Linked DNA regions of Zea mays. The main gene of each other region encodes a partner of the protein of the gene in region 2 in a complex. Links are inferred from orthologs where the notes say so. Each region holds a gene or a part of one and is shown on either strand. Other genes may lie near its edges. The genes, in order: THO complex subunit 3-like, THO complex subunit 1-like and THO complex subunit 6.

Evidence for each region.
Region 1: THO complex subunit 1-like (region 2) and THO complex subunit 3-like share a complex: the UniProt entries of both Arabidopsis thaliana proteins name them as parts of the THO complex. The link is inferred for Zea mays from reciprocal best matches to the Arabidopsis thaliana genes THO1 and TEX1.
Region 3: THO complex subunit 1-like (region 2) and THO complex subunit 6 share a complex: the UniProt entries of both Arabidopsis thaliana proteins name them as parts of the THO complex. The link is inferred for Zea mays from reciprocal best matches to the Arabidopsis thaliana genes THO1 and DWA1.

Annotation. Positions count from the first base shown.
Region 1 is NC_050102.1:86,884,316-86,894,386, forward strand, and holds the start of THO complex subunit 3-like, read left to right. Parts: upstream 1-5,113; 5' UTR 5,114-5,138; coding exon 5,139-5,258; intron 5,259-6,046; coding exon 6,047-6,142; intron 6,143-6,762; coding exon 6,763-6,892; intron 6,893-7,387; coding exon 7,388-7,476; intron 7,477-8,028; coding exon 8,029-8,097; intron 8,098-9,412; coding exon 9,413-9,470; intron 9,471-9,606; coding exon 9,607-9,706; intron 9,707-10,071. UniProt on the Arabidopsis thaliana protein: Acts as a component of the THO subcomplex of the TREX complex which is thought to couple mRNA transcription, processing and nuclear export. Contributes to the integrity of the endogenous trans-acting small interfering RNA (ta-siRNA) pathway.
Region 2 is NC_050096.1:2,945,614-2,955,667, reverse strand, and holds the start of THO complex subunit 1-like, read right to left. Parts: upstream 5,016-10,054; 5' UTR 4,749-5,015; coding exon 4,620-4,748; intron 4,183-4,619; coding exon 4,099-4,182; intron 3,922-4,098; coding exon 3,847-3,921; intron 3,532-3,846; coding exon 3,441-3,531; intron 3,304-3,440; coding exon 3,158-3,303; intron 3,059-3,157; coding exon 2,987-3,058; intron 1-2,986. UniProt on the Arabidopsis thaliana protein: Acts as a component of the THO subcomplex of the TREX complex which is thought to couple mRNA transcription, processing and nuclear export. Contributes to the integrity of the endogenous trans-acting small interfering RNA (ta-siRNA) pathway.
Region 3 is NC_050102.1:102,979,160-102,989,217, forward strand, and holds the start of THO complex subunit 6, read right to left. Parts: upstream 6,252-10,058; 5' UTR 6,113-6,251; coding exon 5,867-6,112; intron 5,782-5,866; coding exon 5,672-5,781; intron 5,178-5,671; coding exon 5,101-5,177; intron 4,535-5,100; coding exon 4,489-4,534; intron 4,017-4,488; coding exon 3,956-4,016; intron 3,828-3,955; coding exon 3,774-3,827; intron 3,625-3,773; coding exon 3,544-3,624; intron 3,446-3,543; coding exon 3,406-3,445; intron 1-3,405. UniProt on the Arabidopsis thaliana protein: Acts as a component of the THO subcomplex of the TREX complex which is thought to couple mRNA transcription, processing and nuclear export.

The DNA.
Region 1 (10,071 bases), on a different chromosome or scaffold from region 2:
TCAGAGCGTGCATTATGCTACATTATATTTATATATTTTGCATCAAGAAAATAGAATTCAACAAAGCAGTACAAAATTATTCCAATGAAACTTCAGTCTATCTGCATATGTTGGAAGAAAACAACGGACACATAATAGCATGATAAATTTTATCAAGTGAATTCTATTTGAAGCATCAAACCCTCAATCTCAGCATCTATCCTTGTTCTATTTAATCCTGATTTCTTTGGCAAACTAGCAAACTGATGAGCTATTAAATGTATAAACGTGTAAATTGGATTCCTCATGTTGCTTTAAGACTCAAGCAAAATGGGTACTTTGGTTGCTTAGCTATTGTCAGTCCCGTATACAATTTGTTCTTAGCGGGTATTATTAAATGTTGCGCTTTATATTTTGCATGTTCATTAAATCAACAATCACTAATCCACACTGCAAATTTTTAGATACATCAACATGTCATATGACACCAATTGGTACTCATGTTTCACAATATGTTCAAGCCTCCAAGGCTCCAAGCTCATCATGTATATAGACCTAGAAGGCAGATATAGAAAGGATAGTTTAGAAGTAATAAACAAATTCTTAGTCTTGGTGCATCAACAGAATGATCAAATCCACTTACCATAGAAGCATGATCTGTAACAGGACAGTAACCACTGTAATACAGAACACGTAACAACATACCCAATATTATAATCTTGCTCCATTCCATTCTACAACTGTCGCCAGCATATAGAAAAGGGAAACTCGAATCAAGTTCAATTTAACCTTAAAAGCAGGTACATATAAGCTAAAAACTTACTATATCGTCATCAATTTTCTTCTCATCATTAGGGAATTTAAGTGGACTAAAAAAGTTGAAGAAGCTCACACAATCTTTAGTTGTGATAGGTTTAGTGGTCTTTAACCCCTTGTGTGGCTCTTTTTTAGCACCTTTTGTGTCAAGCATGTTCCAAGGTACCATTCAATTTCAGTACTAAAATTGGTAAAACTACGCATTACTATAACTTTCTATTCATTCAAAAAAATGAACCACATGTAATGAAAATATTAATAATTACCCAATGGCTTTCTCTAGAATTTGGTTCATCCTCATCAATCATGTTATATGTTCTTCTGAATTCTTGAAGAACAAATTTGCACCAAAGTAAAATGGAAGGTTACTTTCTAATCTAACCAAGTTTATGATTCTGTTATCAACATATCTTGGATATGTCAATATAGCCAGTTAGAAAAGCATGTGCAGTTGTATGTCATATGTCGTTGTGAACACAAGAGCTAAAGTACACATACCCTGTTAAGGTCGTGTGTCTCCAATTTAGGCAACGGAGCAGGCATGAACATGGACCACATATCCCTTTTGAAGCCTATGTACATAGCAACATCAAAATAGTAGTAATAGGTGGCGACGGTGTAGCAAAAGGTATGGCTGCAACTGTGACGGCAAAATGCATGCAATCCTCTCTTTGCAACTCAACATGCTTGCTACACTGAAAAGTTGTGAAACTGTCTATGTTTGGTGCCCTTTAAACCTTGATATCAAGAATAACATATGGCTGTCATAGAAGCAAATAATTACTTGGACCTGACGGTGTTGTCTGGACTGCCTGAGCCAACGACGCTCCCATAACCTGTATCAGTGAACAACTTCTTCACAGCCAACTTGCTAGGTGAGCGCGACGATTTAGAAGTGTTGACGTATTTATTCACAAATGGACTGTTATATAGTAGGCATAAGAAGGAGCACAATTTTTGCTGATAAAACTTGCCTCTTCCTATAAGCATATTTTCGTTCTTTGGTCGCCATAACCAACTGGCAGAACTTCAGTACTCCTAGAAGCATGATGTAGAGGAGCATCAATGGTAGGATGCCTGCTACAAACATGCCTCCATCAGATTAGAAATAGTACTCCCTTGAACAACATCACATATTCTTTTGAGTAAAATGGAAGCACAAGGGAAATGAGAGAAGAAGGGCTTTAATTAGTTATCTGTTTTAGTGATTAGCAAACCATCATTTTTAATCCAAGCTACTAAGAATATTTCTATGCTTTATACTATAAGGGAATGACTAAGTAGTGGGTTGCTTTGTGATGACTGACTTTTATTTTCTTGACAAAAGTTGGCATACTCTGCATTTACAAAGAAGCAAGAAAAGGGTCACCGATAGCTTTGTCTATCAGACAACCTTCATAAAAAATTTTGTATGCTAAAGAGTGTTCCAGAGAACCATAGGTTTTGTAAGAAGATTTGCACAACAAAGACTCTAAAAGCTATAGATTTCGAGTGCACGAGTCCTACAAAAAATAGACATGATATTTATTTCACTTCAGAAAGAGAAAACACTAAAAAATAGAACTCGAAGAAGGGGGTCCTAAATTAGTTAGTTGTTAAAGCGATTGACAAAGCATAATTTCTCTTCAAGCTGAGGAAAACATTTTTTTACATCCTGAGGGAATGGCAAAGCATCAGACTGTTCGTGATGGAGAAATCCTTTTTCTTTTGAAATAAGTGTATGTACCCTGCAATCTAAAAAATCAAAGCCAAGGACAACTTTATCTAGCAGACAAATGGAGGTAATAATTGTATGCAGATTGATTCACTACTGGATGAAATTGCATTTTTTCACAAATTGTAGCCTCCCTAAGCTCCTGGCACGAACGAAGCATACAAAGCCAAAAAACTGAACTCTAGAGGAAACAATGGCAGTAGCAGCAGATGAACTAATCTACCAGTTCTAGTAAACATGCATGAGAAATCCTAAAGGCAGCTCTGAATTGGCAAGCGAACTAACATGAGAATGGAAATGAACCTGCACCCAGGGAGGCCTTCTCGAGAGATAGGTCATGAACGCTACGAGCACCACATCAGGCAAATCCCTTGGCGACGGTGGATACGACACACAAAGAATGGAAAATCGCAGGCCTAAGGAAGGCGATTTTGGGGGAAACTTCAGTTGTAGGGCACAAAAACGCGAATTGAGGATGAGGGGGACTGAGGAGGAGATAATAAAAGGGAAGAAAGTACGAACCTTGTGTCCATGCCGCGACACTGCTTAGACGTGGGGTTGTTGTCAAGGCGCGCATCGTCGTGGTCAGAGAGGACAGTCACGTTCAGGGCTGGCGAGGACGAACCCCAACACATCTTCTCAAAGTGGAAGCTGCCTGTGGTCCGCGCTAGAGCAGGGGGCACAACAGCAGCGTCAAATCAGCCTCCATGGGGACAAATCACGGATGGTGTCAAGCGGAGGCTAGGGCTCGCGGTCGAATGCGACCTTCGCCTGACTGAAGGACAACCATACACCCGTGCCCATGCCTCCGCGTGCCGCGACGGCATGGCGACCTGCGAGGCGTGACCTGAGCACCTGCCAGCAACAGACGTTGGTCACTATAGTTGGCAGATGCGACGCTATAGCGGATGCGCGGCGACCGAACGGCGAAAGGCAAGGCCTGACCTGAGCTGGTTTCTGCACCGGACACCAAGCTCTGTAGCATGTGGGTGCGCACTGTAGCGGTGTCTGGGAGCGCGACACGAGGAGAGAGAAAGCATGCATTGGCGACACAGGCAAGGCAGGGCACGAGGGGGGCACATGTTGGCGCGTCCGATGCTGTACTGCCACGCGTCAGTAAACGTTAGGTGCCGAACCCGTGAAATGCGGTCGGTGTTTCAAACCGGGTCAGGTTTTAAGAACTTAGATATATATGCATAATTTGATGGGTTACCTATTCGGATACACCTAACCTTTTCTACCATATTCCTTGATCAAACTTGGGTATTATACTTTACCTTCGTAGCTATGCTATTGCTACAACTTAACTTTATGCAGTCACTCCGATTTGTGATATTAAGGTTCCAATTGGTAAGTTTACATTATTGTTGCTAATCCGACGATTAAGCAAGATCATATGATTTAATTGGAACATGAAGTGACCACCCGGGAAAACAGTGCTACCATGAGGGTGGTATGGGACGCCCTTGGCTAAATAACTAGGGAAGTCTTATGTTGGGTGCTGGTCGTGGTCGACCGGAACGGGGGCATCTGGCAAGCGCTTATATTTCTGGCTCAGACAGATTGGATACATGCATAATTCCCAAAGCTTTACCCTGCAGACTGGACTATAAGTTGGTTACGTTAGATGTGCTCTATGCAGTTTGACCATTTCCAGCATTTGCATAATGAGGACTCTAGGGAAAAGCCTCGTAGTGAGACCTTAGCCATTCACCTCGGAAGTGAATACAGGTCTAGCTAACCCAAGCTAGAAGGGGATCGTGACTCATGGGTAAAGATGCGCCACCTCTGCAGAGTGTAAAACTGATATATCAGCTGTGCTCACGGTTAAGAGCAGCCTAGACTCCTCACATGATAATTGAACTTGAAGATGGAAATAAATCGAGATCCGATGATCTGCCAATGGTTTGCTTAAGTGGTTTCACTTAAGTGTTTTTGATATACTCTTATACCTTTGTTTAATGGGAATACTTGGGATTCACACTTATTAGTAAGACAAGTGTTGTTAATAAAATGTTGACCAACTAAAATGCCAATCGCATTTAACTTTAGCCTTACCTTGTTACCTTGCATTTTCCCCCACTTGCTGAGCCCTGACCATAAGTGAGCTCACCCTTGCTTAAATTTTGATCAGAAGTTTGCAGATGAAGTTATGATGCTGAGCTCCATGGATGCTAGTCTATTGATACCCCCGGTCATCTTCCTGTGGATGGATGTCCATGTTTCGCTGTACTTTGATGAATAAAGGTTAAGACATTATGTCTGTTCGAAGTGTAACATGTTAATATAATCTTTATTTACGCTCTTATGTATCATTCTTTTAATATATTACACTTGTAATGTCAATATATGTGTGAAAATAAATCCTGGCACACATATGCTATGCACCCGGCTCTGTCTCAAAGAAACGGGTGTGACAGTTAAGGAATAGGTTTTTCTTTCAAAATGAAGGTTGGTAGCTTATGGAATCATGGGCCTAGATCATATTAAACAAACAGGACCTGAGTTGCTGAATGTTTTAATGTAGCCTAGCCCATCAGGCCTGGCCCGATCTCTTCATGGGCTAGTTTGTGTACTTTGGGATTGGAATTGGATTACTCCCCTCCCGGACAAAACGGGGCGAGAGCGCATGGAGAGCAGAGAGGAGGAGAGGAAGGGCAGCGGTGGCGCCGCCGCCGGCGGCGGCTCGACCCCTGGGGCGAATCTAAGGGACCTGGTGTCGAGGGAATACTACGGCCACAAGAAGAAGGTAATACCTCTCAACGCCTCCCCAATATCCCATTATAATTTCTTCTGAGCCCCTATAAAACCCAGAATCTCGCCAGAAGAAAGGTTTCGAAGTTCCAATCATTAGGGTTGCAATTCGTAGGGTGAGGCCCTAAATTCCGGCCTTGCATGCAGAATGATGAAACAAGGTGCGGAAGTAACAATCTTTGGGCCTTCCGGTTTGGTTCCTGAGAACATAGATGGGATCGTGGACCTATCTTGCTTTCGATTCGAAGCTATAAGCGTGGAGAGGGGATTTAGCTATTTCTTCTCTTTATATAGAGCATGAAAGGAGTCAATGTTAAGGCATGATGAAAACGAAATATTGCTGCAGCCACAGTTAGTTGCAAATGAATTTAGTTGCAATAGGCAATCTATTTTGGTTGTCCTTTGTTGCAGCAAAGGGGCCGTGGTGCCTGTCCTTGCAGGGGAGCAAGAGCAGTTTTCCTCTGGTTCTATAAAGAAATTTGAGATTATCTTAGGGCATGTTGTAAAGTTGCAATGAGGAGAAATAAGAAGGAATGATCTTTCTTTCAGGATGAATATATGACATTCTGAGGATGTTTTTTCTTTGTTTCTTACATTATGTTGAATGTGTTGCTTAATTGTCCTTAACTCCTCATAGCGATCTTCAAAGCAAAACCACTCTACCCTAGTACTTGTCGGTACAAAATTTAGATTGATTTGTGGGTTCTTATTTTTGCTTTGTTTTATGCATTTCTTTGGTAATCTTATCATTGTGTTCACCATTCTGATAGTTTTTATCATTAGGTGCACTCTGTAGCATGGAACTGCCTAGGCACAAAGCTTGCTTCAGGATCGATCGATCATACCGCACGTGTCTGGAGCATTGATCCACATGTCCATGTAACTTTCTCTCCTTCTGTCCTTGGTACCAAATTTATCTTTACAGAATGGGATACGCTCCCCACTGTTTTCTTATTAAGATAATGATCGGTTTGGTAAATTTTGAAAATCTGCATAACTGGTATATTCCCTATCTTATAGAACCTAGATAATAAGTTATGACATTGAACTTAAGAAAGCATTAGTTTGCGTGATATGCCAAAGAGGGACAAATGCTTCTCATCTGCACCTCCCTTTTAACTTCAAGCTTTGGCTATTGCAGAAATTGTGACAGGTACTTTACAGTAATATTCCTGTTTCTTTAGCTTGTGCGCAATATAATTTACTTTTCAGTTTATCAGTTATTGTGGTGTAACTCAACATATAATGTTCTTATAGTGCAACGAAACCTTTACCATAATTTGTAGCACGAGACGTGGTTTTATTCTGAACCGATGGAATCTTCAGAGTAAGCTGTAGAGTTTTGAATAACTTTTAACTAGAGTATATTACCTTGATTCTTAATAATAGCCCTTTCTATGCTTTTCTATTTGGTAGCAGAGAGCCAGAGAGTGTAATTTCAGCGTATGTTTCTATACCATTGAAAGATCTAAATGGGAACTTGTGCTAATTTGTTACAGTCTAAGGTTAAAGATATTGAACTGAAAGGCCACACAGATAGTGTAGATCAGCTTTGCTGGGATCCAAATCATCCTGATACAGTTGCTACTGCAGCTGCTGACAAATCTATTCGTCTTTGGGATGCTCGAAGTAAGTAGCACAGTTCATCCATGATGTTGCTAGAAAGCACAGTTTTTCTTTAGCATTTCATAATGCATTTAGCATTATACTTCTTAAAATCTATGAAATACATCTTTTATTTTGACTGCATCTGGATCCATATAAATTTCTATAAGCTGGTAGAAGCGAAGTTCATTCAGCTTTTGAGATTGTGGAAGCGGGCTTGTGAAGATGGTGGGTGTTTGGAGACCATCCTAGCTTCTACAGGCTCGAACCTGGAATCTGATAAGATCCAAACAGGCCCTTTGTTATTTCCTACATTACCCCACATTTACAACAAATTTGATGTGGAAAGATCTATTATGTAATAACTTTATCTGGAAGCTATTTTGTCATATGTGACATCTGGCTTTCAGATGATATATGTTGTATTTTTTGTTCTATCTTGGACTCTTGGTGGTAGTTTCTGTCAATCAAGTTATAATGATTTTATCTTCTCGTCAATGCTTCTTTGTGTCTTTTTAGGTGGAAAATGTCAAGTTGTTGAACTTAGTGGAGAAAACATCAACATCACATATAAACATGATGGCACTCAGATAGCTGTTGGAAACAAGGTTTGTACTGCCTAACTTTTCTCTGCTAATGCCAAGAATGGATACATTTAGAAAACTGACCTATATTAATGTGGTTAGGTTTATTTATTTACAGTAAGATGGATTGTTCTACTGTCACTTTTGGCTTATACCTTTTTCAGCAAGTACGTTAAAAAAGTTCAGCCATATTGCTATTTTGGTGTTTCTTTTCTGGAAGTCCTACAGTTTTGCATTGCTGAATCCTGTACCAGTATGGCAGTATCATAACAATATAGAATATAGAATTGGATTATGCACCTAAAGTTGTACATATAGGCATATTAATTAATCAATTAGATGGAGCTGTGACATGTTTTATTCTGTTTGGTTATAGATAAATATTCTTGAGCTTGAGAAATCTATGTAAATAATTTAAGTAATTTGTGAAAAACATGCATTTTGGGGGAGGGGGGAGGGGAATCATATAAGGTTAATAAAACTGTATCTATATGATGTTTACAAATTACTGAAACTCTAATTTTTTCAAATTATATATTTATATGTCTACAATAACAGTTTTGTTATGGTTTGTAGGAGGATGAGCTGACGATATTGGATGTTAGGACACTTAAAGTTGCTAAGAAACACAAGTCTACTTACGAGGTAATTATAAATTGAAGCTTGGATATATGAATCATTTTCTAACAACTCTTTGTTTGATCCAACTGTTCTTTGGATTAGGATGCACATATACATGTCGGTAGAAATAAAATAAAATAAAATAAAAACTCGACCTGGAGGGGGTAAGACCGCCCCACGACATTATATTAAGACCCCATGACATTATATTAAGAAGACCTCATGCAGGTCGAGAAAACCCTCGAACCCCTGCTCCACCCATAAACAGCGGCACCGTAGCCCATGTGAGAACGACTGCGACCGGGGCTGGGCCTTAGACCTGTGCTTTGGCGTGGGACAAACGAGGGTTTTTTTTAACCACAGCCTGAAAATTCACTCCTACGGGGAGTTAAACCCAGGACCTGAGGAGTGCTACTCAGAGCATCTAAACAACTCGGCTAGAGACCCTTTCGCCTTGTAGAAATAAAATGAGCAGCACTGTTCTTGTGTGCTTGTCTGAGACAATTTGATGTATGGATGTTTTTTGAGTAAATGGGTACTGCTGTATGAATTTAGCAAATAATTGAACATATACTTTATTTTAAAACTTGACTTGCGGGGGATAAGACAACCCCCATACATTGTATTAAGAAGAAGACCTCACACATGTTGAGAAAACCTCCGGACACCTGCTCCAGTGCTCCACCCATACACAGTGGCACCATAGTCCATGTAAGAACGACCACGACCAGGACCAAGCCTTACACCTATATTTTGGCATGGGACAGACAAGAGGATTTTTTTAACACTGTCTGAAATTCGCTCTCATGGGGAATCGAACTCAAACCACCTAGCTAACTCAGCTAGAGGCCCTTTCGCTCGTATACTTTATTTTAATTTGTGTATTGCTGATCATGAACCTTTCGGCAGATGAGGTTTTTTTTTCACCCCAGTATAAAATTTGCTGTCATAGGGAGTCAAACTTAGGACCTGCTACTCAGCCACCTACTCAGACCTGGGGGTGGGGGGATGGACTGATTTGCCATTTTGGCCTCTCCCTCAATGCAATGATACACATTATGTGTGTTCAAGGAAAAATGTTGCTTTCACTGTTTAATGTTTGCAACTTTGTATTATTGCTTTGTTCCTGAGATGAATGAGATCGCTTGGAATAAAGCTGGAGATCTATTCTTCATTGCAACTTTGCACTTTTTTTTTTGGGGGGGGGGGGGGGGGGGGAGGGAGGACTGATTTGTCATTTTGGCCTCTCCCTCAATGCTGATACACATGTGTGTTCAAGGAAAAATATTGCTTTCACTGTTTAATGTTTGCAACTTTGCATTATTGCTTTGTTCCTCAGATGAATGAGATTGCTTGGAATAAAGCTGGAGATCTATTCTTCATTACTACTGGGTTAGGTAGGATACTAAATGCTTTCTCCAAGCTCACGTTAATAATACTGAATAAATAAACACTGTATTTACATTTTGGCAGATTTCTAGTGCTACCATATTGTATCAGTTAATGTTTCCGCATGGTCTATTGGTCATGCAGGGCACGTTGAGGTGGTTAAGGATCTTGAGTTTTTAAAGCCCTGCAAGCTGAATGCTCATACAGCAGGGTGTTATTGCATTGCAATGGATCCACTTGATAGGTATTTTCTATTGAAGGCTCTTTATTTATTCTCGCCCCTGGTACTTCTTTGGATCACTTGGATTTGTAATTTGTACTACTTCAATTGGGTTATCTGGCCTGCTATTTGATTTAAGATGTATGTAACAGTGAACTCTATAAATATTTGACACTGATGCTTGCATGATTAATTACTTTAATTCCAATTAATACTGCCACAACCTATTCACATATATTTTGGCTATTAGAATAACAAAATTCTTTTTCTTTTTAAAAGACCAGAATAACAAGAATTATTGAAATTTTATAGCCTAGCTTCATCTCTAGGTAAAGAAGAAATTGTTAACTAATAGCAACCTCTGGGTGAGTGATTAACTAGGACATGAC
Region 2 (10,054 bases):
AGGCCAATTACGGCCACTGGCGGTGCTTCTTCGATGAAGTCCTCGGCAAGTTCGGTCTCGCTCAGCATGTTCGCTCGCCGCCCCCGCTGGACGAACGCGACGCTGAGTGGCACATGGCTGACCACTGCATCGTCGGCTGGATCTACACTACCATCTCCAAATCGGTGTTCGACATCGTCCACACACCGAAGCGTTCTGCATTCTCCCTCTGGAGTGACATCGAGAACCTCTTCCGTGACAACGAGCTCCAGCGTGTTGTCTACCTCGAGGCGGAATTCCGCAGTCTCCGACAAGGCGACATGACCATCACCCAGTACTACGCTCGCCTGAAGCACCTCGCCGATCAGCTTCGCGACGTCGGCCACGCCGTCTCCGAACCAAGTCAGGTGCTCAACCTCCTACGCGGTCTTAATCCTCGGTTTCGCCATGTCAAGCCGGTCATCACCGCCAAGTTCCCACCACACACCTTCATGAGCGCTCGCTCGTTCCTCTTGCTCGAGGAGTTGGGCGAGGAGCACGACGCCAAGACCGACGCCGCTCAGGCTCTGGCCGCTGGCCACAGCTCCGGCTCCAAGCAGTCCTCGGGCGGGGAGAGCTCCTCCGCCAACTCCAACGCCTCCGCCGCTCCACCAGGCACTGGATCTGCCAGCTTTGGCGCTCCTCGTGTGCGCTCTCGCAACAGGCGTCGCGGGCGCGGCTCTGGAGCCGCCAACAACGGCGGCTATGCACCACGGGCCCCTGCAGGCCAACCATGGACCGCGGGTTACAATCCCTGGACTGGCATGGTCCAGGCGTGGCCCATGCCGTTCCGTGCCCCAGGTGCGGGCGTCCTCGGACCTCGTCCACCCGTCCAGCCCCAGCAGGCGATGGCTGTGACTCAGATGTATGCGCCGTCAACTCCGAAACTTCCCCAAGCCCTGTACTCCGCCCTTCACTCCGCCGGCGTCGCCACTGCTCCATCCGCCTCTGACTGGTACCTTGACACCGGCGCAACCAGTCACATGTCGTCCACCTCTGGTATGCCTTCGATGTCTTCCTTCGAACCTCATTCTGCGACAGTCACGGTTGGCAATGGTGCCCTTTTGCCTGTCCACAACCGTGCCTCCGCCACTCTGCCCACCTCTCATTATCCTCTTCGTCTTAATCACATTCTTCTTTGTCCTTCGCTGGTTAAGAATCTTCTTTCCGTTCGCCGTTTAACTCGCGATAACAATGTTTCTATTGAATTTGACTCCGATGGTTTCTCTATCAAGGCTCAACCAACCAAAGTGGAGATTCTCCGATGTAACAGCACCAGCGATCTTTATCCACTCCGCCCACTGCAGCACCTCGGCCTCACATCTTCATCAGCCTCGTCGGTCTCCTTATGGCATGCAAGGCTCGGACATCCCGGCACTCCGGCTCTGTCTCAGCTTCTTCATAATTTCCCTTTTCATTGTAATAAGGCTACCGATCACAATTGCCACGCATGTCGCCTTGGCAAACACGCTCGGCTGCCATTCTCTGCTTCAGCAACAACTACTCATTTTCCCTTTCAGTTAGTGCATTCGGATGTCTGGACTTCACCAGTGCTTAGTCATACTGGTTTCAAATATTATGTCGTTCTTCTTGATAATTTTTCTCACTATGTGTGGACCTTCCCGCTGCGTCAAAAATCTGACGTCCCCTACGTCCTCCGTACGTTCTTTGCCTACGTTCATACCCAATTCCGCTTGCCTATTCTCGCTGTCCAGACTGACAACGACAAAGAGTTCGACTCCTATGCTATGTGCACCTTCTTTGCCGCTCATGGCACACAACTTCGCCTCTCCTGTCCCTACACATCCCAACAGAATGGGAAAGCCGAACGCATACTACGCACTATCAACAATTGCCTGCGTACCCTCCTTCTTCATTGTGCAGCTCCTTTAGCGTTCTGGGCCGAGGCACTCTCCACTGCCACGTTTCTCCTCAATCGGCGTCCATGCCGCGCTACTGGCTCCACAACTCCCCACCAGCTCCTTTTCGGCACGCCGCCATCCTACGACGACCTGCGTGTCTTCGGGTGTTGGTTGTTCAGGAACAAAGGTGTCGGAGTCAGAGGAGGAAGAATGGCCGTCCATGGCGTGTGGAAGAGGGGCAGAGGAGGGATCGAGAGGTTGAAGAAAGTGAGAGCAGCGGTGAGCTGAAGTCACTGGGGCCTGGTGAATGATACCATGAAAGAGGTGAATTGGATCAACGCATAACTTGTATTAATCTCAAGTGATCTATTTATACACGTACAGAAGGCGGTGGCCGAACCTAACGGATCACAGCTGATCGGCCATGCACCTAGAGAATCGGCAGAGGCCGTTACATGAACAAGAGACTCGGTCCTAGCTGTTACAACTGGATAGACTCGTTGACACTTCTTATATGGAATACCGGGAGGGCGGTCTTTCCCTCCCCGGCCGAGTTTTTTAAATGACACGGTAGGACAAGTTAAAAGACCAGTGGTGCATTTCTCTCCAGCCAAAAAGAAGTGCTGGAAAACTCCAAGTCTCCAATACATTCGAAGGGTGATAATTGAAGGTGTTCGGTAGGTTAAAAGAACCATGGGTTCATGAGGTTCAAGATTTTGGTGATACAGTACAATCAACCATTTAGATTATAGCCAAGATTATCAGCAATACTTAACACACTTTGCAGTTCAGTTTTTGATTAATCCGTTTAATAGACAAGGTTACTAGGAACTGAGCCGATCTCAGTTGGTGCGCAAGGTGCAGGTTCATGTCCTCTTTAACTTTCAATTTGGGTGTCCATTTCTTCGTACTGGCAATGCCACATAGTTCATATCAGGTCTTTTTTGGGGGGTTAGGGTAGGGGATTTTTTTTTACATACGAGATTAACTAAGGTAAATCAGCTGGCCAACAAAATAGCCATTTAGCCAAGCTGAAATGTGGGAACAACAGCAAATATAATTTATAAACTTCAAAGGGTGGGCACAGCAGAACAACTGAATCTAACCTTCGATAGTCTGCGAAGAAGTTGGTTGCAAGTCCTTAGCATAACTAGTTTGCCACGTCCAAAAAGTTCTTGCTACAAACAACCCAAAACGATAATCAGTCAACAACGTTACAAGCATGCATCTTCTCTATTTAACCAGAACTAACCAAACGAAATAGGGATCAAAATTACCTTCCCCAATACATCTTGCTGGCTCTCAATATACCCAAAGATATCTTTGCAGTCTTTGATTGTTGACATTTCAGTTAGGTCTTCTAACAGCTGGAATACCATACCACCTTCAACATGCCCTCTTTCGCAAAGGTAAAGCACAATATCTATCATGGAAGAGCATTGGTTTCTCAGAACAGAAAATAATACTACACATGCACCAAATAGTGCTCAGAAGGTGATGGCATAAGTCCTTAGATAGGAACAGATTCGAACATAGAATGTTGGAAGAAGTGTAACTGACCAAGAAGGCGAGTTATCAGGCAGTTACTTTCTCCGCTATCCAAAGAATTCCCGTACTGCATAATCTTTTTATCCGATTGGACCGCAGATGACTAAGAATAAAAAATATAAAACAGAATCAGCAATCAATTTTGGTTCCTAAGATGGCAAATGAACTATACACCTGCTGACCTGCACTTTTCATATAAAACAGAATCAGCAATCAATGTAATTTTCTAGGACTGAAATAAAAAAAATACAGCCACGTCTTCCGTTTTATTTTAGAAATCGTCATTAAAACTCTGCTACTCTGAAACATAGTATTCCTAACGATGCAGTGACCAGAACAATGCACGCGCCAACAACACTCCCTAACCACCTTATCATCAAGTGAGATCAAAGAACAGTGTAGCCACATGGAAAGTTACCACAAGCTCCTGCAGCAAAGTTCGAAGAGCATTTTCCAAGGACTGATTCTCCTCTAGAACCAACACGGTTTCCTTCTGTGAAATGAGATATGTGTGTCAAATCAGATGATTAACTGAACTAAAAGACAAGTCGAATCAGATAGGTATTACCCAAAACACAAGCAAATAAAATAGAGGAAAATAATAACATGAACCACTGACGGTTCATCATCAAATCAAGACTCACAAGCATGCCAGATTCAACGTACATACCTGAGGTTTAATTGCTTCCTGAACCGTCTGAAGGGAAAATGTTTCCGGGGGTTCGTTCCTAGACAACGCGCTCCTGAAAACTCCCTGAAAAGAGCAAAGGCCACATTTCACCAAGCGTACACGTGTGGTAGCATGGAGAAACAACTCCCCTAAATTTCCAATGTTCCTTCTCCATCCTCTCACACAACCCCTAATTAGGCCGCTACCAACGGTTTTTCCAACGCCTCTATGGAAGTTCCATGGTGATTTTGCGATCGAAAGTTCCTTTCAAAAAAAAAATTTGCGATCGAAAGTCGAAACAGAAAGAAACGTGATGCATGAAACAAATTGCAACCGTGTGGAGGCACTGGATGGGAGTCCACCAGCACTAGCACTAGCACTAGCACAGTACCACTCGCGGGAAATGGACGAAGACGGGACCCTTCGTGCCACCCAAATCAGGGACAAAGTTTCAAGTTTCTACTATGACTGATTGACCGCGCTAGGGTTCATGAACAGAGTGGGAGGGAGTTTTAGCTCACGATGATGCGGTCGCGGTCGGCGTGGCTGGAGACAGCGGCGGTGGGTGGAGGGGAGGGAGCCGGCCGGTCCTTCGACAGGAGGATACGGAGGCCAGCGTTCGACACCGGAGGCGGCGAGGGCTCGGCCATGGTGGCGTGCGCGGTAAGGCTTACCCGGTTGAGTCTGGGCGATCTACCAGGCGCCTGGAGAGGGTCAGCCTTTGACGCGGTGCCGAACACAAGATAACAGCACTGGGCAAGCTGCGGCGGCGAAAATAGGCTACGATACGAGCACGGAGGGAGGGGAGAGGCTCGCCGTCGCAGAGCAGAAGGAACAGATGCGCCGTGCGCGGCGGCAGACTGGCGAGCCGTCGAGGAGCTCGAGCTGAGGAATGAGGAAGGAGAAACACAAGACAGATGGACCGCGAACCTGGGCTGTGCATGGGCTGCGACCCATAACGGATGTCAAGTGTGAGAGTCCATGTCCATCACGCAAGGAAACAGTACAGACCAAATACTACCTTCCCCGTTGGGCATTTTTTTATTTCTTTTGTTTTTTAAAATCTATATCTATATCTATACACCCATCAGTTTAAACGTTGTAAAATTCACACAACCAAATCACCCTGTTGGCGCCGATCTGGATGCCAACCACTGAAACGAACCACCTGCGCGGTGTGCTCTCTACGGAGGCGCGAACGGTCCGCGGCACAGGGCACAAGAGCGGATCCTCCTATGCAGGCTTTCGGATGTGTCCGCGCCTAGGGCCGGACGGTCCGCAGTGGTGGAGAGGGTCTTCATCTCCGTGGAGAATCCTAGAACTCGCCACGGGAGAGATCCCATCGAGGGGGAGAGTTCCAAGGCGTGCTCTGGGTCGGCAGGCCGCCTGGTGCTCCTCTAATCGGCGTAGAGTCAAAGAAGAGGTTGTTGTGGAAGACTAAACTAGATCTAAACCTAAGGCAAAATTACTCCTACTCCTAGGAATTAGAAGAATGATGCAAATAAGGTAATTGATAAGTAGATTTGATTGGATCGATTGTGAGAGGTTCAATCGGTTGTACCCCTTCATCCAGATAAAAGGTGGAGGTCTAGACCTGTTACAAGTCGGTCATCAAGTTATTCCTACATGCTTTGCTAACAAATCCCGCTAGAAATTCGGAACCCTATCTGATTCTGCGTACGTGTAGACCGTCTGTGTCGCCACCGTGGATAGTTCGGACCGCGGACCATCCGGCCCTAGGGCGGACGGTCCGGGTGTCATTTTTGCTATTCAACATATGCCCCCTTCCTTTTGGTGAAGGTTGACGAACCAAAAGCATATGCACTAAGCCTGATGCAAGTCACCGGCTCTTCGACCTAATAGGGTGATCATTCAATATAACTCTAATGTATAAAGGACGTTTCAGATTGCATCTCTCTCGGCCATGACCATCCGATCAATGGATCAAAAGGTATGGAATGGAGGAGCTCCCAGCCTGAATAGGCAAAGGACTATGTATGTACCATGGGTTCATCGTCACAGGATAACATATCAACGATGAGTAGGCGGGTGGAAAGTATCCTGACATCACTAGAGATGGATGAATAGGCAATGATTGTTGCGCCGCCTTTTGGGTCGTTTTATTCGACCGTTATGTTTTAGCGGATGACTAGGGTTTCTTTGTTGGCCGATCGCGTAGAACACCCTTCTTGCTAGCGTATTTGGATAGCAATTGATTAAATTAGAGTCGGTTTTGACCAGCCGACCATGTGCGTTACATGTGGTTTGCCCTTGCATCCCCTTTGCTTTTTGTGGAGGCTGACACCTCTGGCCATGGGCGGACTATCCGACTGAGTCAGCCGGACCGTCTGCATGAGCACCGGGTCGTCCGCGCGCAGGTGACGGACAGTCTGCAATGTTCGAGTCAGGGAGCTTTACTCGAGTGCTCGATTGAACCAGCCCCTGGTGCCTCCATACTTGTTAGTATTTCTATCCAGAGATTTCCGAGCAATCCCTTCTTGTGATATATTCGACGTGCGAGGATCGCCAATGACGACGTTTTTGCATTTGCCTTTATCGACCACTTCCGGCCGAACCAATACCTTTTTGCTTGCTAGCTCTATTATATTGATAGCAAATGATTACGTGTCCACTTGCAACTAATGAAAACTCAATCGACCCTCATTTACGGCCGATTGTATCTTTCGACGAAAAACATTACAATCATTGGTGGCATGGGAAAAAGAATTATGCCACATATAGTAATCACATCTTTTTAATTCATCTAGAGGAATATTATACGTTAATTTAATGTTGTCATTTTTAGTAACTCGTCAAATATTTTATCGCATTTGGCAACACCAAAAGTAAATTTAACTTTTTCTTACCGTTTTTTTGAACCGGCTGCAAAGAAAAACATGCAGAAGGTTTAGCCTATGTTGGCCAAACAAGTTCAGCGGTATATACATCTGTTGATTCATCAAATGAATTTTCGCGCCCCACTAGATGCATCTTGTGGCTAGCCGATTTTGATGCCTCTTTACTTTGGTTTTCACATGCCAAAGCTCGCTGGTGCAAGCACACTAACGAAAAGAACTGGGTGCCATCTAATTTCTCTTTTAAGTAAGGTTGCAACCCATTAAAAGCCAATTTTGCTAGTTGTTTTCCACGACATAGATATGAAAGCATCAGTTTCTAGTGTTCTAGAACCTCCGGATATAATCATCAACCTATTCTTCAGGCCCTTGTCGGACTGAAGCTAGACCAGCTAATTCTAACTCATGTTCTCCTGAGAAGAAGTGTTTATGAAATTTTTGTTCTAACTCCTCCCAAGAGTTAATTGAGTTAGGTGGGTTGCGTACCGTGCGAATATGGTACCAGTCAGAGATAGCGAGAATAAACGAACACGGTAGGCTTCCCTATCAGCCAATTATCCTATGTGTGCTAAGAAATGGCTTGTGTGTTCATACGTGCTTTTCCCGCCTTCACCGGTAAATTTCGAGAAGTCTGATACCCTAGTCCCTTGCAGACATGGCAAGACATCAAATCGGTGACTATAGGGTTTCCGATACGACTGCAATGTGCCTGACACACTAACACCGAGTTTGTCTTTGAACAACCCAGCTACCTCGTTGTAGGATCTAGGACACCGGCTAGAGGGGGGGGGGGGTGAATAGACGGTTTTGACTAAAATCAACAATACTAAATAAATTTAATCAATACAACAAGAGGAATTGAAAGGGAATTAGGCTTACACCTAGTTCCTAAATAATTTTGGTGGTTGAATTGCCCAACACAAATCTTTTGGACTAACTAGTTTGCCCAAGTGCATAAGTTATACAGGTGTAAAAGGTTCACACTCAGCCAATAAAAAGACCAAGTTTTGGATTCAACAAAGGAGCAAAGGGGGAACCGAAGGCACCCCTGGTCTGGCGCACCGGACTGTCCGGTGTGCCACCGGACATGTCCGGTGCACCAGGGAGACTCAGACTCAACTCGCTGCCTTCGGGAATTTCCAGAGGCGACTCAGCTATAATTCACCGGACTGTCCGGTGTACACCGGACAGTGTCCGGTGCGCCAAGGGAGGTCGGCCTCAGGAACTCGCCAGCTTCGGGAAACGCCAACGGCTCGTCCACTATAATTCACCGGACTGTCCGGTGTGCACCGGACTGTCCGGTGCGACTCCGGAGCAACGGTCGTCTCCGCGCCAACGGATACCTGCTGCGCAATAAATGTGCGCTCTGCGCGCGCAGAAGTCAGGCGCGCCCATGCTGGCACACCGGACAGCAAACAGTACCTGTCCGGTGTGCACCGGACACCCAGGCGGGCCCACAAGTCAGAAGCTCCAACGGTCAGAATCCAACGGCAGTGATGACGTGGCAGGGGGCACCGGACTGTCCGGTGTGCACCGGACTGTCCGGTGCGCCATCGTGCAGACAGACTCCCAACGGCCACTTTTGGTGGTTGGGGCTATAAATACCCCAACCACCCCACCATTCATTGCATCCAAGTTTTCCACTTCCCAACCACTTACAAGAGCTAGGCATTCAATTCTAGACACATACAAAGAGATCAAATCCTCTCCAATTCATCACAAAGCCCTAGTGACTAGAGAGAGTGATTTGCCGTGTTCATTTGAGCTCTTGCGCTTGGATTGCTTCTTTTCTTTCTCACTTGTTCTTGAGATCAAAACTCCATTGTAATCAAGGCAAGAGGCACCAATTGTGTGGTGGCCCTTGCGGGGAAGTTTTGTTCCCGGCTTTGATTTGAGAAGAGAAGCTCACTCGATCCGTGGATCGTTTGAGAGAGGGAAGGGTTGAAAGAGACCCGGCCTTTGTGGCCTCCTCAACGGGGAGTAGGTTTGCAAGAACCGAACCTCGGTAAAACAAATCTCCGTGTCTCACTTGCTTATTCGCTTGGGATTTGTTTTGCGCCCTCTCTTGTGGACTCGTTCCTTATTACTAACGCTAACCCCGGCTTGTAGCTGTGTTTATATTTGTGAATTTCAGTTTCGCCCTATTCACCCCCCCTCTAGGCGACTATCAATTGGTATCGGAGCCCGGTGCTTCATTAGAGCCTAACCGCTCGAAGTGATGTCGGGAGATCACGCCAAGAAGGAGATGGAGACCGGCGAAAAGCCCACTACAAGCCACGGGAGCACTTCATCGGAAGAGTCCCGCACCAAGAGGAAGGAGAAGAAGAAGGACTCCTCCAAACGAAAGGAGAAAAAGTCTTCCTCTTCTCACCACAAAGAGAAGAAGGAAAAATCCTCTTCCCACAAGCCACATCGGAAAGGCGACAAGCATAAGAGGATGAGGAAAGTGGTCTACTACGAGACCGACACTTCATCAACATCAACCTCCGACTCCGATGCGCCCTCCGTCACTTCTAAGCGCCAAGAGCGCAAGAAGTATAGTAAGATCCCCCTACGCTACCCTCGCATTTCCAAACATACACCTTTACTTTCCGTCCCATTAGGCAAACCACCAACTTTTGATGGTGAAGATTACGCTAGGTGGAGCGATTTAATGCGATTTCATCTAACCTCGCTCCACAAAAGTATATGGGATGTTGTTGAGTTTGGTGCACAGGTACCGTCGGTAGGGGATGAGGACTATGATGAGGATGAGGTGGCCCAAATCGAGCACTTCAACTCTCAAGCAACAACAATACTCCTCGCCTCTCTAAGTAGAGAGGAGTATAACAAAGTACAAGGGTTGAAGAGCGCCAAGGAGATTTGGGATGTGCTCAAAACCGCACACGAGGGAGACGAGCTCACCAAGATCACCAAGCGGGAAACGATCGAGGGGGAGCTCGGTCGGTTCCGGCTTCGCAAAGGGGAGGAGCCACAACACATGTACAACCGGCTCAAGACCTTGGTGAATCAAGTGCGCAATCTCGGGAGCGTAAAATGGGATGATCACGAGATGGTTAAGGTTATTCTAAGATCTCTTATTTTCCTTAACCCTACTCAAG
Region 3 (10,058 bases), on a different chromosome or scaffold from region 2:
TTTTTCTACAGGAGCTGAGAGATACCCGAGCGGCTTGTGTTGGCCCTTGGGTGGTCGCAGGAGATTTTAATCTAATCTACAAGAACAGTGATAAGAACAACTCAACCTCAACAGGGACATGATGGGCCGGTTCAGATCGCTGATCAACGATCTAGCTCTTAAAGAAATTCAGCTACATGGCAGAAAGTTTACCTGGTCCAATCAACAGGATAACCCGGTGCTTGTGAAGTTGGATAGAGTACTCTGCTCGGCTGACTGGGAATCATACTTCCCAAATGTGCTTCTGCTCAGTTCATCCTCTCAAGATTCAGATCATTGCCCGCTGCTTCTTGGTCTAAAAGACAATATTGTTGGCAAGAGAAGGTTCCATTTTGAGTCCTTTTGGACCAAAATGGAGGGATTTCAGGACGTGGTGCTGGAGGCTTGGAATTCTGTACAGCCGGTCAGCTGTCCCTTCATCACCCTGGATAGGAAACTCAAGGTGACAGCCATGAGGTTACGCAGCTGGAGTGATAAGCAGGTAGGACATATTGTTTCGCAGCTTTGTCTGGCAAAGGAGTTGCTGCATAAACTCGAAATCGCTCAAGATCACAGGGCCCTATCTCCGGCTGAATGCTGGCTTAAAAATAGACTCAAGAAACAGTCCCTGCTGCTGGCCTCCTTCAAGCGTACCATGGCAAGATTAAGATCAAGAATATCCAGGATTAAGGAGGGGGATGCAAACACCAAGTTTTTTCATATGCATGCTAGATATCGGAAAAGGAAAAATCTGGTGACCTTGCTGAAAGACGGTGATAATATTATTACTAGCCATGCTGCCAAAGCAGATTTAGTGGATCAGTTTTATTCCAACCTTATTGGTCAGTCGGTCTCCAGGGAGAATACCATTGATTTAGCTGCTCTCGGCCTCCCAGCTCATAACCTCTCCATCTTGGACGCCCCTTTCACTGAGCAGGAGGTTCTAGCAACTGTCTTGAACCTACCTGCTGACAAGGCCCCTGGCCCAGATGGTTTTACTGGGAGGTTTTATAAGGTTTGTTGGAACATCATCAAAGTGGACGTACTCAATGCAGTTTCAGCAATTTGGTGTAGGAACTTCAATAACTTGGATAAAGTTAATTCTGCATATATTACTATGATCCCAAAGTTTGATGGGGCTGATCAGGTGAAGGATTTCAGACCGATTAGTCTTGTGCACAGCTTTGCAAAATTGGTAACCAAGATCCTGGCCAATAGGCTTGCTGGTCATCTGCATGAGCTTGTCTCCCCAAATCAGAGTGCCTTCATCAAAAGCAGATTTATACAGGACAATTTTATATTAGTGCAGCAAACTTCAAGATTTTTACATCAGCAAAATATGGCATGTCTTCTTTTTAAGCTCGACATCACAAAAGCCTTTGACTCGGTTTCATGGCCTTTTCTGATTGAGGTGCTGCAGGCTTTGGGTTTTGGCCAAATCTGGAGAAATATAATTTGTGGGTTACTTGGTTCCTCAACTACTCAAGTGCTGCTCAATGGGTGCCCTGGCAATAAAATCCAACATAGAAGGGGGCTCAGGCAAGGGGATCCCCTCTCCCCCATGTTATTTATTTTAGTCATGGATGTCCTTTGCCTTCTATTTGCCAAAGCTGAAGAGACAGGGTTGCTGCAACAATTGTCCAACAGAAAGAAACTTCATAGAATTTCTATTTATGCTGACGATGTGGCCCTCTTCCTGCTCCCAACTCAGAATGACATTTCCACTACTCTGGACATTCTCAACATCTTTGGGAATGCCTCAGGTCTACACAACAATGTGCAGAAATCCAGTATTTATCCTATCAGATGTTCGGAGCAGACCATCCTGGAGGTTCAAAGCTTGTTACCTTGTGGGGTGGAGTCCCTACCTTGCAAATACTTGGGTCTCCCTCTTTCTCTACACAAACTAACCAAACAGCAGCTCCTGCCCTTTATTGAGAAAATTGCAGATCTTCTCCCAAGCTGGAAGGCAGAGTTGTTGAACAAAGCTGGCAGAAGAATTCTAGTGCAGCATGTCCTAACTAGTATGACAATCTATACTGCAATGGCTATTGATTTTCCTAAGTGGGCTTTGGATGCAATTGATAAAATTAGAAGGGGATTCTTATGGAGAGGCAGAAAGGATGCTAAAGGAGGTCACTGTATGGTAGCCTGGGAAAAGGTTTGTAGGCCTCTACATATGGGAGGCCTCGGGATTTCTAACCTGACTAAGCTTTGTTGGGCTCTCAGAATGAGGTGGTTGTGGCTGCAAAAAACTGATTCTTCGAGGCCATGGGTGGACCTACCCATTCAGGTCCCAAGTATTGCCAGGTCCTTCTTCTCTGCAGTGTTGATGTCAGAGGTTGGCAATGGTGCGAATACTCTTTTTTGGGTGGATAAATGGATTAATGGGAAAAAGGTAGCTGATATTGCACCAAGACTGTTCTGCACCATATCAAAAAGAATTGCCAATAAAAGAACAGTGCAAGAGGCAATGGACAATAGGAGATGGATTAGTGATATTAGGGGCGCTCTCTCAGCAGGGGCCTTGATTGATTTTCTGCATCTCTGGGAAGCTTTAACGGATTTTCAGCTACATCCTGATATTGAAGACAGACACATTTTTTCCATAGCGCCAGATGGTAACTACTCAGCAAAAGTTGCTTATGAAGGGCTCTTCCAGGGATCGTGCTCCTTTCTTCACCACAAAAGAATCTGGAAATCCTGGATGCCACCCAAGTGCCATTTCTTCCTGTGGCTGGTGGCACATGATAAATGCTGGACTGCTGATAGGCTGCAGAAAAGAGGCATGAACCATCCGGCTAGGTGCCCTCTTTGTGATCAAGAACCTGAAAGCATTGATCACCTGCTGGTTTCCTGTGTGTTCTCAAGAGTTTTCTGGTATAGGCTTTTGAGAAAGTTTGGGTTACACAGCTTATCCCCTCAGCAAGTGGAGCCTTCCTTCCTTGGTTGGTGGGAGAATTCCTCGGCTCAGGTCCTCAACATGGGAAAGAAAGGACTGGACTCCCTTGTTGCTTTAGGGGCCTGGATGATTTGGAATCATAGAAACAAGGTGGTGTTCGATGGAAGGACCCCCTCTATCTCCTTCCTTCTTCAAGCTGCTGAGGATGAACAGGAGACGTGGCGGCTGGCTGGTGCCAAGGGGCTTTCCTTTTTGGCCAGCCAAACTACCTAGCTCCTAGGGCTGTAGTGTTTTTTGTCCAGTTTTATGGATAGCTTTGTGTATGCTTGTTTCTGGCCTCCATAAGGAGTGCTTGTACCTGGGTCCTTATGGCCCTTTATTTTCCCTCTACTTTAATATATGGGTGCGCAGTCCTCCTGCGCTCTTTCGAGAAAAAAAAAATACAATGCACAAGACAGGAAAGGATGATGGTTTGAAACCCGCACCCCAGATACGAGCTGTCCCATCCTCTGATCCTGTTACAACCTGATCAAAAAATAAGTCAGTTAGTAACATATCACATATTGTACATATTATAGACAAGATGAACATCAAATAATGGAAAGCCAAGATAATCAAATAACCTGGCGGTTTGACTCACGAACTGCAATGCTGTGCAAATAATCAGCATGCCCCTTGAATGTGATTTTACATTTACTGGTCTCCTGAGAGAAGCAGTCATGATTAGCATTAGTTTCAGATACCTTCTCAAGCACAGAGCATTGATATTATCCAAGCTTGTAATGCTAAAGACTCTAAAGCAGAACTGCAGTTCCTTCTATGTGTGTTCAATTTACCTTAAGAAAATACATACCACATCCCAGCAGTAAGCACATGCATCACCCGCTGCTGCCAAAATGGATCCATCCTGTTTGGAAGAATGATGATAACAGAAAATAAGATTTGTTGAACCAAGCAATATGCATGAGGAACGAAAATTTGGGACAGTCACACTTCCTGGAGGATATAAAAACATGAAAAGTTCCAGTTGTTAACCTGTTTATTAATTGCAATGGCATTGTTTTCAGGTACTGGAGATCGAGCACCCCAAGGACCCCTACAAAATTGCCAGCAGCAACAATGTTATTAAAGCTACGTTTAAACTATGTTTAAACGTCAAAACGCTAATTAGAGCTTGAAACCACGTTTTGTCGTTCTAAACTGTAAAACGCAGTGTTTTATGTGTTTTAGACCATTAGCTACTTTTGGGCCCAGTCTGTTAGTTAGGGTCCAATCTGGCTCATGGGTGAAGTTTTGATAAGCCACTAGCCTCTCTATTTTGGTATTTAACTTCATGTTATTGTCTGAAATTATGATATATTGGTATTTTTCCTATGTTGTTCAAAACTAAGTTTAAACTTTGTTTAAAAGTCAAAACTTCACCCATGAGCGTTTTATCGTTTTAATAACCTTGAGCAGCAACAATGCAAACAGGGTAAATTGGGGGGGGGGGGTGGGGGGGGCAGCTGCTGGAATAAACGGTGTAAACTGGAAGGTCTGAGATTGCAGTTTTATCACAGAATCCTTACTCGTGCTGAGGGTTGACCAAGTCAAGTGCTGGTTCCAGATGATCCCCTGTGAACAAAGGCAACAGAAAAATTGGTAAAAGCAATAACAATGACCAAAATGTAGAAGATGCACTAGGCAATTTTCGGCGCATTTCCACACAGATACTCGTTTGTTCTCCCTTTTCTCCTTTATAGGAAAAACAACATATGCTCGTTCCTTCCACCTTTTCTCATGTACGAAAAACAACAGATGCCTTGTTTCACTTTTTATCAATACAACTATACTGGTTATTAAAAAAACTGAAATAATATTAACTTGGCCTTCAAGGCGCAACACACAGAAAAACTACAAAAGATATTGATGCATCTTCATAGATAAAATAAGTAGCAACTATGAAACATTTTCACATGAATCATGCCTTGCACTGGCAAGATTCTAGATTTGTATCTATGCCAGTGCAGGGCATGATTCATGATTTCTCCTGCATCAAACCTACACCATTGTAAAAAATGTGCATATTTTTTCGGTGCACCTGTGCTAGATGCATCGCAATGCCCTAGTGGCCTGGTAAAGCATATGACCATTTATGAAAGAAACCACGTCAAAAAAGAATGGAAGTTCGAATGCAGCACCTTGCAGGGAGAGCGGGACAAGGCAGCTCTGCATCTCGTGCCACCTCCAACCCTTGATGCGGCCATCGTCCCCGCAGCTGCCACAAGGAAGTAAGCAGCCAAAGAACCGCACAACCATTAACCCATCACCGTCTCCAACCAAATGAAGCACATTGCCATGGGTAATATTGTCAAGAAGCATAAGAGCCTGTTTGGAAACTTTGGATACAAGGGCTAGTTGCTAGTGCTAAAGAATTAGCCAAAATTAGCTCTAGCGCATCCACCGAACAGGAGGGCAAATTGGTGGATTATTTTTTTAGCCAGGTCTTCAACTAGTTGGAGAAGTCAATAAGGATAAGAGCCTGTTTGGATACAAGGGCTAGTTGCTAGCGCTAAAGAAATAGCCAAAATTAGCTTTAGCGCATCCACCGAACAGGAGGGCAAATTGGTGGGTTAATTTTTTTAGCCAAGTCTTCAACTAGTTGGTAGCCAACTAGCTAGCTAACCACAGCTAATTTAAGCGAATTTTTAGCCTCAACTAGTAACTAGCCATGTGTATGAAACATGCCAAGTCAAACATTCTGTCAGTCACCTGAAGAGCAGCGGCTGCTGTTGATCGGGGTAAAACCTGACGTCGTAGGCAGGTCCGCTGTGCGCTTGCACGATGCAGACAGGATCTACCAGAGTGGCGGCGGTCTCCACCTGAGAACCAGACCAAGAAAAACTCACTCTACGCCTCTCTGGGCGTGCGTCACCAAAAAATCAGTTCTGGCCAAAGGGTACGAACCTGGGAGGTAGCGGAACATGCGGAGATGCAGGATGAAAGGGAGAAGGAAGCGAGGGAGCCGTCGCTGGAGGCGGCGGCGAGTAGGATGTCGGTATCCGGGTCGTCGCTGTGGTCAAAGAAGACGGCACGGAAGAGGGTGCGGGACGAGAGGTCGCGGGCACGGAGGATGCCGCGGCGGTACGATGACTCGTCCCACCGGCGCGCGTCCATCGATGCCGGATGGGACTGCGCCGCCGCCGTCGCCATGGCTGTCCTACTCTGCGCTGATGCGCTCTGCGCTTTTGCTTCGGGGAGCGAAGGGATCAGGGAAGACGGGGACAATTCCGAGTTCCCGACAGAAAAGTGAAAGCGACAGCGGGTTGGGCTGGGCTTCTTTCAACTAGAATTCCGCCGGCTTCTGGCCCATCTTTAAACTTTTCCATCAAAATGCTTTAAGCCTTTGTGGCACGCTCCCTTATGATTTTAAACAAATAAATTTATAAGAAAAAATATTTATATGGTTTTCTTGAGAACATCTCCCTTAGGAGTTATGCAATTTTTTAAAAATAAAATCTAGTCTAATTCACACAAAAATATGGTTTTGCTCGACAAAAATATGAAACAATTTTGAATTCTTTTTCTAGAATCTTTTGTGGAGTTATTTGAATCTTCTATGGATACATTATGGTGACATGGATTTTGTATAAGGCAAGGGCAAAGTGACTTCGACAATGTTATGAGTGTTATGTAATGACCTCATATGCAGTGCTTAGTTGATGAGCTAGTTAAGATATTTGTTATTGGTGACTTGTTGAAGCTTTTGTAAAAAAACGCAACTGGGCAACACAATTAAAGTAAAGTCTCTCTCTTTTTTATCTTTGATGGGTTCTAATGTACCATTAAATAACGTAGACGAAGCATGTATTCAATTTACAAGGGTCTACATTTTTCCTTTCTCCTTTATTGGATTAAACAAAGATGAGGAATACATAGCAGTTATGAAACCTTTGGAAGGTATTGAAGGTTTCTTAAACTGATTTAAGTGCTTGAAGATGACATACCTTCTAATACTCTTTGTGCACGAAGGTGCTACAGGCTTAGACATACAAGTGACCAACCCTTGTAACAGTGGCATTGTACACTTATTTATAAGATCAAGATTACACACATTCCAACTCAGAAAAAGAATGTCCACTCCTCTATATGAAGACTATGTACAACTAGAGACTAACATTATGTCTTTTTTAGGGAAGAAGTGTTGTATACACCTTTTCTTCCTCCTTCGATAACGTACTAAGGTAGTTCAATCCTATTAAAGTTTCATTTCTTCCTTCTCCTTTGGCTTGTCGTTTCTTGATGGAGAGCCGACCTAAGCCTCCGATTTAGACACATGGTTCGGAGGTAGCCAATTGAAAATAGACTAAAGCAACAATTTTCATCAAATATAGATATTCGACCAAAAGCTCTCCTCAACACTTCTCTAATCGTTGAGGTCACCCTTCTATATGAAGTCTAGTTCCTCCAAGTCAATTATAAGTATTATAGATAGAAGAATAACTACTATAAAATAAACATCATAATGAACCCATAAAATACCCAAATAACTTCAAACTGGATCTAATAATAGAGCATGTTTTAGTTAAATATAAATGTAGTTTTTTCTAATGATTTTTAAGGTTAAATTGGATTTGAGATTATTTATTTGTTAATTTTCTTTTCATGGACATCTTTTCCAAAAAATGACATTTGAACCTTGAGCTATGAGCATGTTCCGATTTATCACTAGGGTGATACCCATAGGCATTGTTTCCAATGGTTGTAGATACCAAATTAACATGTAGGTGTGAGTACATATATGAGGTTATACAAACGCATATGGATCATATGTCGATTCAGCTGGTGCTTCAAATATATAGTACAATGCTCGTGCGTTGTGACGACACACAAATTATTCGATAAAATGTTAGTGCACAACGATTACATGAAAACAAACAATACATATATTATAATTGATATCAATATCGCACATATTCTTATGCGACATGAATTGACAATTTCCAACCGAACCCTAGACACTTATACATGTTGCCCGCTAGAAATTCCTCAAACTACTAAACTAAGTAGGCAGTCCGAGATAACCATGGTGGAATAAGAGGCAAGTGATTTCGGGCCAATAAATTTGCACTATCGACCAACCCATGAATTCTAGAATATAAAAATATTACTCATTGTTACATCAACCGATAGGAATGAGAATACATCAGCTGATAGAAATGAAAATAAACATGCATATTGTATCGAGAACCTTATATACACAGGCCCAAACCATGGCAGGCTAATTCATTATTTTGTACACTTGCACACATTATATGGGAGTGAATTAAATTATCCTCACACACACTTACCTGTGTTCTTCCCAAATTTTCCACTTCTTATCATCCACTAAATCTAAGAACACTCGAACTTCTAAATTGTTTTCTTCCTAAATTGCAAACAAAACATTCCACATCATTGGTTATAATCACATGTATCAAATGCAGTTGCTAAAAAAGGAGTGACATGCATTAAAATAGTCTATAGAACACAAATGAAGTTATCTATGACAAGTGAGGAGGCTGTAAGTATAGCCTAATGTCCTAGCCAACATTTTTAAGTCTCCATTTCCAAGTTATAAGATATTTTGGTTTTTTTCTAGCCACATAGCTTGTGCTATGTATTTTGATAAAATATTGGTCATGGCAAGGGAACTGCTCTTCCATCATCTTAGGGTTTGTTTGTTTTTCAGCTTTTTTGCTGATTCTAGCTGTCACAAGCTGTCGCGGACTACCAAACGCTCAGCTTCTCAGTTCGCTTCTATGAGGATCGCTTTGATGAAAGTTGTTCAAAATTAACGTGAACACACAATCGGTCGAGTCGTCGCGACAGGAGGAATCCATCACTTCCTAGATCCTAAACCCCATGGACCCCTTCATTTTCCTTCGCATGTAATCCACATAATACTCAAATTCTCCTCACATCCATATTATCCCTACAATCAAATTCTCGTAAAAGCTCGTCAGAAAAAAACTGAAACAAACAGACCTTTAAGTAGTTCCACACTGGTTGCTATGTTCACCTCTCATTGCATGTGTAGTGCAAAAAATGATTAAATTCTAGGTTGGACTTATGTGACATAATAGAAAACTGTCTTTTCTAGATTTGAAAGACAAACACCTTTTATCTTTTCAGAAGACAAGGCACAATTGCTTATCTCTTCTTAACACGGTTCCTCCTAGGTGGTTTAGGATTACATTTAAGAAATAGGGTAAAAACCAGTATGCCCATAATTTAGGATTTTCGTATCAAAAAATTCCTGAAGGATATGATGCCTACTAAAAGTAGTCTAGAGGGGGTGAATAGGCTAAACCTGAAAATTATCACCAGAACCTTCGAGATAATGTTAAATCTACAGTTCAACTGGTGCAGGCCAGTTCAACTGTAATAAAGGCAAGTTGAACTACTCTGAACCAGTTCAACTGCTAGAATAAATCTAGACTATGAACTGTGCAGAAAATAGAAGATGGATCTCTTATAGTGGAAAACGCGAGAGATAAGCTAAGCGTGGATGGTGAAAATACGAGAGTTAATTCACCACAAGATCCACACGGCGAGTAAACCTATATGATGTCTATCTTGCCAAATAAAATCACAATCATAGATCGAGCAAGAACACAAGACACAAGATTTATCCTGAGGTTCGGCCACACCACAAAGGTGTCCTACTCCCCGTTGAGGAGCCCACAAAGGGCAGGGTCTTTTTCAATCCTAATCCTCCACAACCCGACCACCAAGGTCAAGCGATTCTTTTTCTCAAACTTGCTCACAAGAGAGGAGAATACAAACTTCTTGGGGTCGTCCACAAATTTGGAGACTCCCAAGCAACCTCAATTCATCTTAAAACCCTAGGGTTTCAAGAACACAAAATCGCACAAGAGGTGTTTGCAACAAGCTCAAGAGATTAGAGTGAGACGGGAGAGGAAAACCAAATCTGTGAGCACAAGCACAAACCTCACACCAAAGGGCTCCTTCAATCGAGTTGAATCGAGAGCAATTTTGGGTGAGAGGAAGAAGTGTGCCTTTGTCTCAAATTAGGTGTGCAATGAATGTGTGTGTGACCAGTAGTTATGAAGAGATAGGTGTGGGGGCTATATATAGGCTCTCTTCAAAAGTAGTT